3 linked regions of the Mus musculus genome follow. The protein of the gene in region 2 interacts with the protein of the main gene of each other region in a biochemical or structural test. Links are inferred from orthologs where the notes say so. Each region holds a gene or a part of one and is shown on either strand. Other genes may lie near its edges. The genes, in order: Notch1, Rbpj and Spen.

Region 1 (3,650 bases), on a different chromosome or scaffold from region 2:
TGGCTGCGCGCCTGGCCGTGGAGGGCATGCTGGAGGACCTCATCAACTCACATGCTGACGTCAATGCCGTGGATGACCTAGGTAGGCCCGAGCTACAGCCCAGCTACCGAGGACATCAGCCAGTGCCTGGTCTGCTCAGCCCCAACCCACTCTCTCCTCTCTTTGCTTCCTTTCCAGGCAAGTCGGCTTTGCATTGGGCGGCCGCGGTGAACAATGTGGATGCTGCTGTTGTGCTCCTGAAGAACGGAGCCAACAAGGACATGCAGAACAACAAGGTAAGCAGACGGGCTGCTTAACCGCAGGCGCATGATGGGGACTCCGGGGCACCCATACGTTGACCACTTAGAGGTTTAAGAGTGTCTGGGACAACAGCAGCCTAAAATAACCCGTGCTCTTGCTGGAGAGGAGCTGAGGCGTAAGCAGCTGTCCCATGTCACGGTTACTTGAGCCTTGCCTTCTGTCCCCTTCTGTCCCTGGTGGCTGTGGTGACCCTAGGGGTTCAGGATTGGCCAAGGGGCAGGGATGGGGTGGCCCTGTCTCTTAAGGCCTGCAAGGCTTCTGGCTTGGTCCACCACTACCATGCTCCCTCCTTTGGGATAAGAAAACTGCTGAGCTGGGCTGCGTGTCTCCACCTCGCCTCCCAGTGTCTCTGTTTGTGCAGGGCTAGTTGCTTCATCAGGACTCTGCTTAGTTGCTCACAGGGCAGAGTTTGTGCCTCCCTTACCAGCTCCACTGCAGGCTGGGAAATGGAGCAGGAGTCAGGTACCTGGAGTTGCTGTTGGGCACAGGTTCTCCACAGTCCAGGGTGGGCCAGTGGTTATAGAGAATCCAAGCCTGATAGACATTCTGTTGTGGTGTATGATTATGTCTGCTGGACAGAGCAGACCTGGAAGGAGCTGAGATGCCCTAGCCACTGGTGACCCTTTGGCATGGTAGTACCTTCCCCATGGCCATTCACTTGCCTTAAAGGTCCCTGAGTCCCAGGATTGCAGTACTTGTGCCTGCATTTTGGGGAGGAAAGCAAAGGGCACACAGTTACATTCTGTTTTCGGCAGTCTGACTCCACACAGGGGAAGAAGCCCTATGTATTTATCCCACAGATCTCTGGGGTGTGAGGTGTTAAATCTAGGTTCTCTAAAAAAAGAACTCGGGACCAGCCATGTGTGCGTGCTAGCACCGAGAAGCTGAGGCAGGACGATACTGAGTTCCAAGTACGGCTGTGGGCCCTGAGTGAGATTCCTAGCAACATAGGAAGGCCCCACTATAAATACTCTCTGAGCCTGGTGGTCTAGGATGCTTGGGTCTAGATAGATCTCTCCAGATAAGAGAAGAGAAAGAGGCAGCACCTGCTTCCCTAGCCCCTCCCCCCAGGCCATCCATCATCAATGACTCAGCAAATTCTACACCTGCCCGCTCCCTCATGTACCTCCTGTCCGTGTCCTACAGGAGGAGACTCCCCTGTTCCTGGCCGCCCGTGAGGGCAGCTATGAGACTGCCAAAGTGTTGCTGGACCACTTTGCCAACCGGGACATCACGGATCACATGGACCGATTGCCGCGGGACATCGCACAGGAGCGTATGCACCACGATATCGTGCGGCTTTTGGATGAGTACAACCTGGTGCGCAGCCCACAGCTGCATGGCACTGCCCTGGGTGGCACACCCACTCTGTCTCCCACACTCTGCTCGCCCAATGGCTACCTGGGCAATCTCAAGTCTGCCACACAGGGCAAGAAGGCCCGCAAGCCCAGCACCAAAGGGCTGGCTTGTGGTAGCAAGGAAGCTAAGGACCTCAAGGCACGGAGGAAGAAGTCCCAGGATGGCAAGGGCTGCCTGTTGGACAGCTCGAGCATGCTGTCGCCTGTGGACTCCCTCGAGTCACCCCATGGCTACTTGTCAGATGTGGCCTCGCCACCCCTCCTCCCCTCCCCATTCCAGCAGTCTCCATCCATGCCTCTCAGCCACCTGCCTGGTATGCCTGACACTCACCTGGGCATCAGCCACTTGAATGTGGCAGCCAAGCCTGAGATGGCAGCACTGGCTGGAGGTAGCCGGTTGGCCTTTGAGCCACCCCCGCCACGCCTCTCCCACCTGCCTGTAGCCTCCAGTGCCAGCACAGTGCTGAGTACCAATGGCACGGGGGCTATGAATTTCACCGTGGGTGCACCGGCAAGCTTGAATGGCCAGTGTGAGTGGCTTCCCCGGCTCCAGAATGGCATGGTGCCCAGCCAGTACAACCCACTACGGCCGGGTGTGACGCCGGGCACACTGAGCACACAGGCAGCTGGCCTCCAGCATAGCATGATGGGGCCACTACACAGCAGCCTCTCCACCAATACCTTGTCCCCGATTATTTACCAGGGCCTGCCCAACACACGGCTGGCAACACAGCCTCACCTGGTGCAGACCCAGCAGGTGCAGCCACAGAACTTACAGCTCCAGCCTCAGAACCTGCAGCCACCATCACAGCCACACCTCAGTGTGAGCTCGGCAGCCAATGGGCACCTGGGCCGGAGCTTCTTGAGTGGGGAGCCCAGTCAGGCAGATGTACAACCGCTGGGCCCCAGCAGTCTGCCTGTGCACACCATTCTGCCCCAGGAAAGCCAGGCCCTGCCCACATCACTGCCATCCTCCATGGTCCCACCCATGACCACTACCCAGTTCCTGACCCCTCCTTCCCAGCACAGTTACTCCTCCTCCCCTGTGGACAACACCCCCAGCCACCAGCTGCAGGTGCCAGAGCACCCCTTCCTCACCCCATCCCCTGAGTCCCCTGACCAGTGGTCCAGCTCCTCCCCGCATTCCAACATCTCTGATTGGTCCGAGGGCATCTCCAGCCCGCCCACCACCATGCCGTCCCAGATCACCCACATTCCAGAGGCATTTAAATAAACAGAGATGTGGGATGCAGGACCCCAGCTTCCGTTCCCAAGCCCTGTTGGGAGTCCTTTCCAGTGCTTCAGGATGCTGGGGCGACCAAAGGAGCCTTTTAAAAAATGTTTTTATACAAAATAAGAGGACAAGAATTTCCATTTTTTTTTTTAGTATTTATTTATGTACTTTTATTTTCCACAGAAACACTGCCTTTTTATTTATATGTATTGTTTTCTATGGCACTAGGGAAAAACATATCTGTTCCAAGAAAATAAACTAGTTCTCAGAGCCTTGATTTTCCTGGTCAGGGTGAAGTTCCCTGTGTGTCTGTAAAATATGAACAAGGATTCATGATTTGTAAATGCTGTTTATTTATTGATTGCTTCTTTCCAAAATCGAAAAGAAAGAAAAAAGAACGTGACAGGAGAAGGGAAGCTGGAAACTGCCATGGCCAGAATTGCCCCTCCCCCACACTCACTGCCCCTCCCCCCAGCGTCACCTGGGATTTGCAGATGTGTTTAGAAACACGCCCAGACCTTGAACCTTGGGTTCATGGATTAGTTTTGTATCTAAAACAGGAAACAAGTCAGATGATGTGGTTTGTACACTTTCTGTAACCACCAGTGTGGACTTGAAGAAGTGTCCTCAGCATGTGCAGAGTCTACTACCCAGTACCAGTCGTGAGTCTGCAGGCTCCAGTGTTCTGTAGTAGTGTTTATGGGCCTTGGGAGTACTTCTCCCCTGCCCTGCCCCACTGTCCCCTTCCTGACAACTTG
Region 2 (3,650 bases):
TAGCAAGCCTAAGGCTCTGGATTTGACCCCAGCACCACACAGAAAAGAAACAAAACTGTCAAGGTTAAGATGGTGGCAGGAAGAGTGACAGCAGGTTCTGCTAGTTAACTGTACCCAAGGACACTGCCACAGTTTAAGAGCGGTCAGTAGCCAGTTCAAACTCCCACTAGTGCTTGACTCTGCAATTGTACAAAGGGCACCCCACATTTTCAGGTTTTGGCCTGCCTTCCAATCTCTTGACAAATTCATGGTGGATCTTGGATTCTGCATTTCGACATGTTTTAAGAAGCTGTGTAGACGCACTGTAAACAGAATAGAAAAATACAGCCACACACCACAACTGAAGAATTCCCGGTTCTAAGAAGATAAGAGGATAAAGGGACCAGCATCAACAGGGGGGAACATTCCACAGTAACGGGGGACAAGACTCCTGTACATCATATATTGAAATTGATTTACAAATTCACAAAAGAGGACTTTTAATAAAAGCAGCTGACAAAAGAACTATCAATAACATGGTAAAGCAGACAGACATATCTGTTCACACTATTCTGTGGTAGGAGTCTGACATAGAACCATAGCAAAATGCCTTTATTGTTACATTCTTGAACTTTGTAAAAAACAAACAAACAAACAAACAAACAGGAAAACTACTTATAGTCTGTTTCAATTCTTACTAAAATAAACAAAAGAACCGAAATGAGATATAAGCATTTTAAAAAGTCAAAGTTCATTTTAATAAAGCCATGAACTTGAAAACTTACTTTAAGCTACAAAGCTGGGTAAGGAAGAGTTTGTTCTTTAAAAGCATCTCATCTGTTCTCAGTTATCGACTTAACTACATCCTGAATCTAGGACCTCAGAAAGCACAACGGAACTGCAAACTGCTCAGGCTCTGAACAGATCGCAGGGGCCTGCTTCCATCGCAACTGAGGGAGAACAGTTACTGCAGAGATAGATCAGTAAGGCCACAGTGAGCTCTGCCCTGGACCACTGAGACAGCCTGGAGGGGTGAGGCGGGGCGGGGAGGAGGTGGGCTGTAGCTGATCTGAAGAGAATCGGCTAGAACAGCTGGTAAGGAGCAGCCTGGGGTGGACAGGAAGGCTGTCACCACCACATCTTACAGGTGGCCTTCCCCTTGACAAGCCAAGGAGGAGCCGTTTAAAGATGTTCGCAGTGGCACTTACAGTGGTACAGTCTTCGAGACAGCGAGTGAAAGCAGCAACGCTGGAAAGCAATGGTCCTGACAGAGGAGTCTAAGGGTCTACGTGAAAACTTTCAGAAGCCCAGAGAGCCAGAAAGACACCAGAAAATGCCATAGAAGTTACAGTCTGCATTCATAAGGTACTAGTGGCTCCTGTTTTAAGGGACAGTAAAAGCTTACCACAATCTAGAGGTAGTTTTTACTCAAGGATGATGGCATCACTAGACTGTGTCCTTTAACATCACACATGTGGTTCTTGTACTAAATGTAGCCCAATGAGTCTGCTTCAATTCCCAAGAAACTGAACAAGGAATAACCAAAGTGCAGGGATGGAAACAAAATGAATCTGGCATATTGGCACACAGGGCTGACACACAAGCCTGAATGCAAGCAAGGCTTAACTAAAAAGGGGGAAAAAAATCTGGACAGAACATTTCTACTGGGGAAAATAAACAAAGGGGCAAAGAGGAAAATGGAAATATAAGTTACATTTGTATTTTTATAAACTTACAACTATCAGTCTCTAAGGTACTGTCTTCTGGCTACTTAGTTCAGTTTATTTAGTTATCATCTAATAAAAGCCATCTTATGGTCTTTAAAATTATAATGATGTTCTGGCTAGGCTAAAAAAAAAGGAAAACATACAATAAATCATCCTGCAGAGATGTTCCTCATTTTACCCTACGGGCACCATCTTGGTAGCAAATAATTCGCATGATATTTTTTGTCATTTGCCAACAAGGTGGGAAACACCCTGTGAAATGTAATCACTGGGAACATTCCAAGTAAAGATAAAATGTTTAACTTACACATAATACAAGTTATGTACAAGATTTGGGGGAAGGGGAAACCTGAACAAATCCTGGAACACAGATGAACTGATGAACAGGCAGAGGCGCACAGCCTTCGAACGGCAGTGCTCACTGCCATGAACTCAGAAAGGGCTAAATGGCCACACGGAGCTGTTAGCATCTCTTAGATTACCACTATAAATACATTTCTTTAAAAAAAGGGAAAACACAGAAATAACTACCAACAGATTCTGAGAACAGACTCAGTTAACACACATTGCATGTATTGCAGGCAAGGCAGAGGCATTTTTAAAGCTTTTGCAGACTTCATATAATCTTAAAAAAAATATGCAGGCCTTTACAAAATTTGACTTGCTGAAATCAAAATAATTCCAACTTATGAAAAAGTCATAAGACTTCAGCTTAAAAAAGTTCCAGCCTTAGACCACAAGAACCTGGAAGTGTTCAGTGTTCAGACTGAACAAACATGGTGAGGCTCGAACCTGAATGAATGTACTTTAGAGCCAACCCTCAAAGGGTGGGGAGCGCAACCTGTTTGGTAACAAGGTGTAGTACACACTGTGATATAAAAAAGGCATGGTGAAAATGTACCTTTCACTAAAGCTTATGCGAGTCCCTTGGTCCATAAGTCTATGTTAGGTTTGTGTCTTCTAGCTTAGCCTGTGCTCCAGCCACATATCTGTTTCCTGGCCATTAAATCAAAACCAAACCAAAACAACCAAAAAGGGGTGCGTGTGAGAGGGACAGCTGAAAACCTGGATTTCCATCAGCCTGTGCATTCTGATGTTGTTCATTGTACTGTGGCCTCTGCATGTCACACCTGCACTGGCAGTTTTGAATAGATCACCTGGTACGAAACGTTTCCCCAAGAAACCACAAAAGATTGTTCACTTTATCCTTGCCTTTCTCTGTCAACTTTTTGCTGCATTCAAGTCAGTTTCAGTCCCAGCAAAAAGACGGTAGTTAGGACACCACGGTTGCTGTGGACGATGTGACACTGGTAGAATTTGTGCTGGCATTTGTGTAATTCCCCTCGCTGTTTGTGTTTGACTCATTGGAGGGCACTTGGCTGGAGTTGGCTCTGAGAATCGCTCCTGCAGCGCTGCAGTGTGGCCTCGGCCCTGGCTCTGGTGTGTAGGTGAAGGTAAGGCTGGTGGAGTAAATGACCCCGTCATTTCGGACCAAAGTCACTGGAACCTGGACTGGCTGGCGGACCCATCTCCAACCTTCCCGGAATGCAGAAATGTCTGGGACCACACAGAGCATGCTCTCTCCACATCTAAGGAGGAAACACACACCATTTAGAAGCATTTTCAAAGCAAACACAGCTCTGTATGGACAGTCTCAGGGGCTTACACCTTCCCAACCCCTGGGTGACAGAACAGGCTCTATCAGTACCTGTACATTGTTTCGGCTTCTACATCCCCAAACCACACTCTTAAATTTGGAGTAAAGTTTTGTCCTGTAAGTTCAAGCATTGCTACGTCCCCGCCGCCATTCAACTGCAATTTAGAGAAACCACATTAAGACAGATTTTCACTCTTCACTGAAGAACAGAGCTTGAGCTATAATTTCATGAAGGTTAACAAGTTCAGATTTATAAAACATCTCTGTTAAATAACATGACTACAAAA
Region 3 (3,650 bases), on a different chromosome or scaffold from region 2:
TTTGACTCTGTAGACACAAGCCTTAAAGACGGCCTTTTCCATGAGTTTAAGAAGTTTGGCAAGGTGACGTCAGTGCAGATCCACGGGGCCTCCGAGGAGAGATACGGCCTGGTGTTCTTCCGGCAGCAAGAGGACCAAGAAAAAGCATTGACCGCATCCAAGGGGAAGCTCTTCTTCGGCATGCAGATCGAGGTGACTGCATGGGTAGGACCAGGTGAGACTGCAGAGTTGACTTTCATTCAGAGCAGCATGCCACCCACGTCGGTTTGTGAGTGGTACTTAGGGCTTGGCACTGTCTGCTTTCATTTCTTAATTTACTGGCCCAATGTCTTAGTTTTTAAAGGGTGGGGTACTGAGTTGTGCTTTTGCCATGGAGAAACCCGCACCTTTTGAAATAGATACTTTTCTAGATTAAATATTCTGGTTTGAGGGAAGCAGGTAACATGAGAAGATGTGCTTGTCTTGTTTGACTCTGTAGACACAAGCCTTAAAGAATCTGATTGTAGCTCAGGCCACATGCGGACTCAGCCTTCCCTAAAGGATGGGAGTGATTGACGTGTAAAAGTGAGACCAGAATTAGCCTGCATGTGAATATCATTTGAGGGAGTCATTTGCATTTTGTCCAGCATAAATTAAATCTGCTATTTTAGGTGACTATTACAGATTTTGGGTTATCTCATTACTGGATCAGAGCCTGGACCTGGAGGCAGCCTTAAGCTAGGCTCAGCCATCATCCTCAGAACCTGAGTTAGTGTGAAAGTGAACAGCCCAGGGTGCTTGGTGTGAGAGCCCCCATCACTACTCTTGCAGAGACACTGGGTTGATTCTCAGGACCCACATGAGGCAGCTCCCAACCGCCCGTGACTCCATTCGCAGGCATCTGCGTCCTCTTCTGGTCTCTGGACACCACATACACATGGCACACATTCACACACATAAACGACGAAAACTTTAAAAAGAAGTGAAAAGCAGAGAAGAGAGACAGCACAGTATTCAGTGACTGCATCAAGGAGACCACGGATACCCCAACACCCCAGTCTTTCTTCAGGGTCGTGACATGAGATTAGTGTTTAATTAGAGGATAGAAGGTGCATATTGTTACTGTAGTCATTGGTGGGGAAAGTGACGTAAGTGACAAAGGGCATGCTCTGGCTCACAGTTCTGCTGTCCATCTCGGGGTCGGGAAGAGGCAGTCGGGAGCTGCTCATGTGTATCAGCGCCTAAATGCAGTTGCTACCCACATTTAGGGTCACCTTCCTACCTCTGTTTCCCTACTCTAGAAAGTCGTCACCACACATCCACATAGTTCCATGATAGTTCTAAGGTCCTCTCAAATGACAGTCAGATGAGACATCATACCAGAATCCAGAGGACATTCTTTGTCTCATTACCCACTGAGTTGTAAGTGTGCTGCCCCAAATTACACTCAACTAAGAACAGCTCACGAGCTCTTTATTGTTTTGTTTTCTTGAGACAGAATCTCACTGTGTAGCACAGGCTAGTCTAGAACTCACTGTGTAGTCCAGAATTCCCTTGAACTTAGGGTAGTCCTCCTGCCTCCGCCTCTGGAGTGCTAGGTTACAAGTGAGCGTCACCACAGGTATCAGGGGTTCTCCTTGGATTGCTGCGGACATTATACAGCTCTTGAGAAATACTCAGTGTGTACCTAACCGTGTAGGTCTGAGGCCATCATCAGTCAGTTGTTAACTAATGAAGGTATAACTCAGGGGCATCTGTGTAAGATGGATTAGTGTAGAAGGCCTTCTAATCTTAGTGTGTAGCATTCAAAAACAGTTGGGTTATTACTCATTCTTTTGAGACAGTTTTATTATTTAAAGCAGGCCAACCTTAAAGTCAACATCTGTTGCTTACAGTTCCCAAATGCTGGGGTTAGAGATGGGGACCACCATGCTCAGTTTATCTTTTGTTTGTTAAAGACAGGGTTTTATGAAGCCCAGGCTAGCCTTGAATCTGCTTTGTAGCAAAGACTAGCTTCAGACTCCTGTTCCTCTGCCTCCACCTCTGCTGGGGTTACAGAAGTGTGTCTCCCATGCCTGGCTTCATTGCGTGCATGCGTGCATGCATGCGTATGTATGTTAGTGTTAGGATTGAGCTCAGAGTTTTGTGCATGCTACACAGTGCTCCACTTCTGAGCTATATCATCAGCTTGTCTACATATCTTATTTTTTGTTTTGTTTTTTTGAAGACAGGGTTTCTCTGTCTTCAGAGATCCACCTCCCTCTGCCTCCCGAGCTGGGGTTGTAGGCATGCACCATCACGTCCAGCTTTCTGAAACTTTTCGTTGTGTTGGGTTTGTTTTTCATTTTCATAAGTAGAGAACATGTAGTGCTGAGCTGTAACTGTCAAAGCCTTGAGTGTCAGTGTCTGCATTAATAAGTGGAGCTCTAACAAAGCTGGGATTATATTAGATGTGGGAGCAAGGCTTTTCATTATAAAACAAAATGGAAAGAAACCTTACACAAGTTGTTAGGGACCTCATAACACCAAAGAGAGAACCCATGCATGTCACTTGAATCACTTTCTACATAGTTACTCTTACAGCTGGAAGTCTTTGTAAATTAATTATTTCAGAATAGTACTTGTACGGGTCTTGGGCCTGCATATATGTCTGTGTACCTGTCTGTGCCTGGTAGTCATGGAAAGTCAAGGTGTTGGATCCTTTGGAACTGGGTGCTGGGAATTGAACCTGGGTCCTTTGCAAGAGCAGCCAGTGCCTGACTACAGAGCCATCTTTCCATCCCCCAGAAATCTTAATTTAGACATTTGAATTACTACATTAATGTAGTGTCCATGAAATGTACCATTAAAATCTTGAAAGTAAATGAAACTAGCCAATGAATTGGAGCTGTTACTGCTGAGCCGTATTTCATTGTAGATTATAGAGTATGTGTAGGTTTTTTGTTTGTTTGTTTGTTTGTTTGTTTGTTTGTTTGTTTTGAGATAGGGTTGCCCTGTGCAGCCCACAGTTGCCAAGAACTCACTCTCTATATGGCACAGGCTGGCTTTGAACTCTCAACTCTCCTGGGTCTGCCTTCTAAATGCTAGGATTACAGGTGTGTAGTACCTGAGTCTACCCCTGGAGCCCTTGTAGAGGTGAATGAGAGAACCCACTGATGAATAGTCCACTGACCTCCATTCACACATCCCCACACTCACACCATGGACGTACACTGTAATATTAAATGTAGCCCTGATCATGGTGTTGCAAACCTTTAATCCCAGCATTCAGAAGGCAGAGGCAGCCAGATCTTTGAGTTCAAGGCCTGTCTGGTCTACATACAACTCACAGAATTATCTGTGTGTTGAAGGCCACCAAAGACATGGTGGAAGCCTGTTTCAAAACAAACCTGAACAAACAAAACCCTTTCTTAGTAAATTTCTCTGTGTGTGAGAGGGAAATGTTCAGTTTGTACATGTTTCTTGTTTTCTGAAACAGTGCCTGCTGTGTGCAGCCACTCCAGGCCTGTCAGTGTTGTTTCCTGACTGCAGAGGGTACAGGCCTGTCCACCAAGCCCAGAATGACATAGTTTGCCAATTGTATATTGGAGAGTATTAAAGCACGCTGTTCTGCTCTGCCCCATCCACTCACAGAAACAGAGAGTGAAAATGAGTTTCGGCCCTTGGATGAG

The links.
Region 1: the proteins of Rbpj (region 2) and Notch1 form a complex in vitro, tested with the Homo sapiens proteins (5 studies listed by BioGRID and IntAct, with this or other methods). The link is inferred for Mus musculus from reciprocal best matches to the Homo sapiens genes RBPJ and NOTCH1.
Region 3: the proteins of Rbpj (region 2) and Spen form a complex in vitro, tested with the Homo sapiens proteins (2 studies listed by BioGRID and IntAct). The link is inferred for Mus musculus from reciprocal best matches to the Homo sapiens genes RBPJ and SPEN.

Annotation. Positions count from the first base shown.
Region 1 is NC_000068.7:26,458,773-26,462,422, reverse strand, and holds part of Notch1 (neurogenic locus notch homolog protein 1 precursor), read left to right. Parts: coding exon 1-81; intron 82-177; coding exon 178-275; intron 276-1,446; coding exon 1,447-2,892; 3' UTR 2,893-3,650. UniProt on the Homo sapiens protein: Functions as a receptor for membrane-bound ligands Jagged-1 (JAG1), Jagged-2 (JAG2) and Delta-1 (DLL1) to regulate cell-fate determination.
Region 2 is NC_000071.6:53,652,950-53,656,599, reverse strand, and holds part of Rbpj (recombining binding protein suppressor of hairless), read right to left. Parts: intron 3,519-3,650; coding exon 3,415-3,518; intron 3,296-3,414; coding exon 2,980-3,295; 3' UTR 1-2,979. UniProt on the Homo sapiens protein: Transcriptional regulator that plays a central role in Notch signaling, a signaling pathway involved in cell-cell communication that regulates a broad spectrum of cell-fate determinations.
Region 3 is NC_000070.6:141,489,960-141,493,609, reverse strand, and holds part of Spen (msx2-interacting protein), read left to right. Parts: intron 1-13; coding exon 14-214; intron 215-3,612; coding exon 3,613-3,650. UniProt on the Homo sapiens protein: May serve as a nuclear matrix platform that organizes and integrates transcriptional responses. In osteoblasts, supports transcription activation: synergizes with RUNX2 to enhance FGFR2-mediated activation of the osteocalcin FGF-responsive element (OCFRE).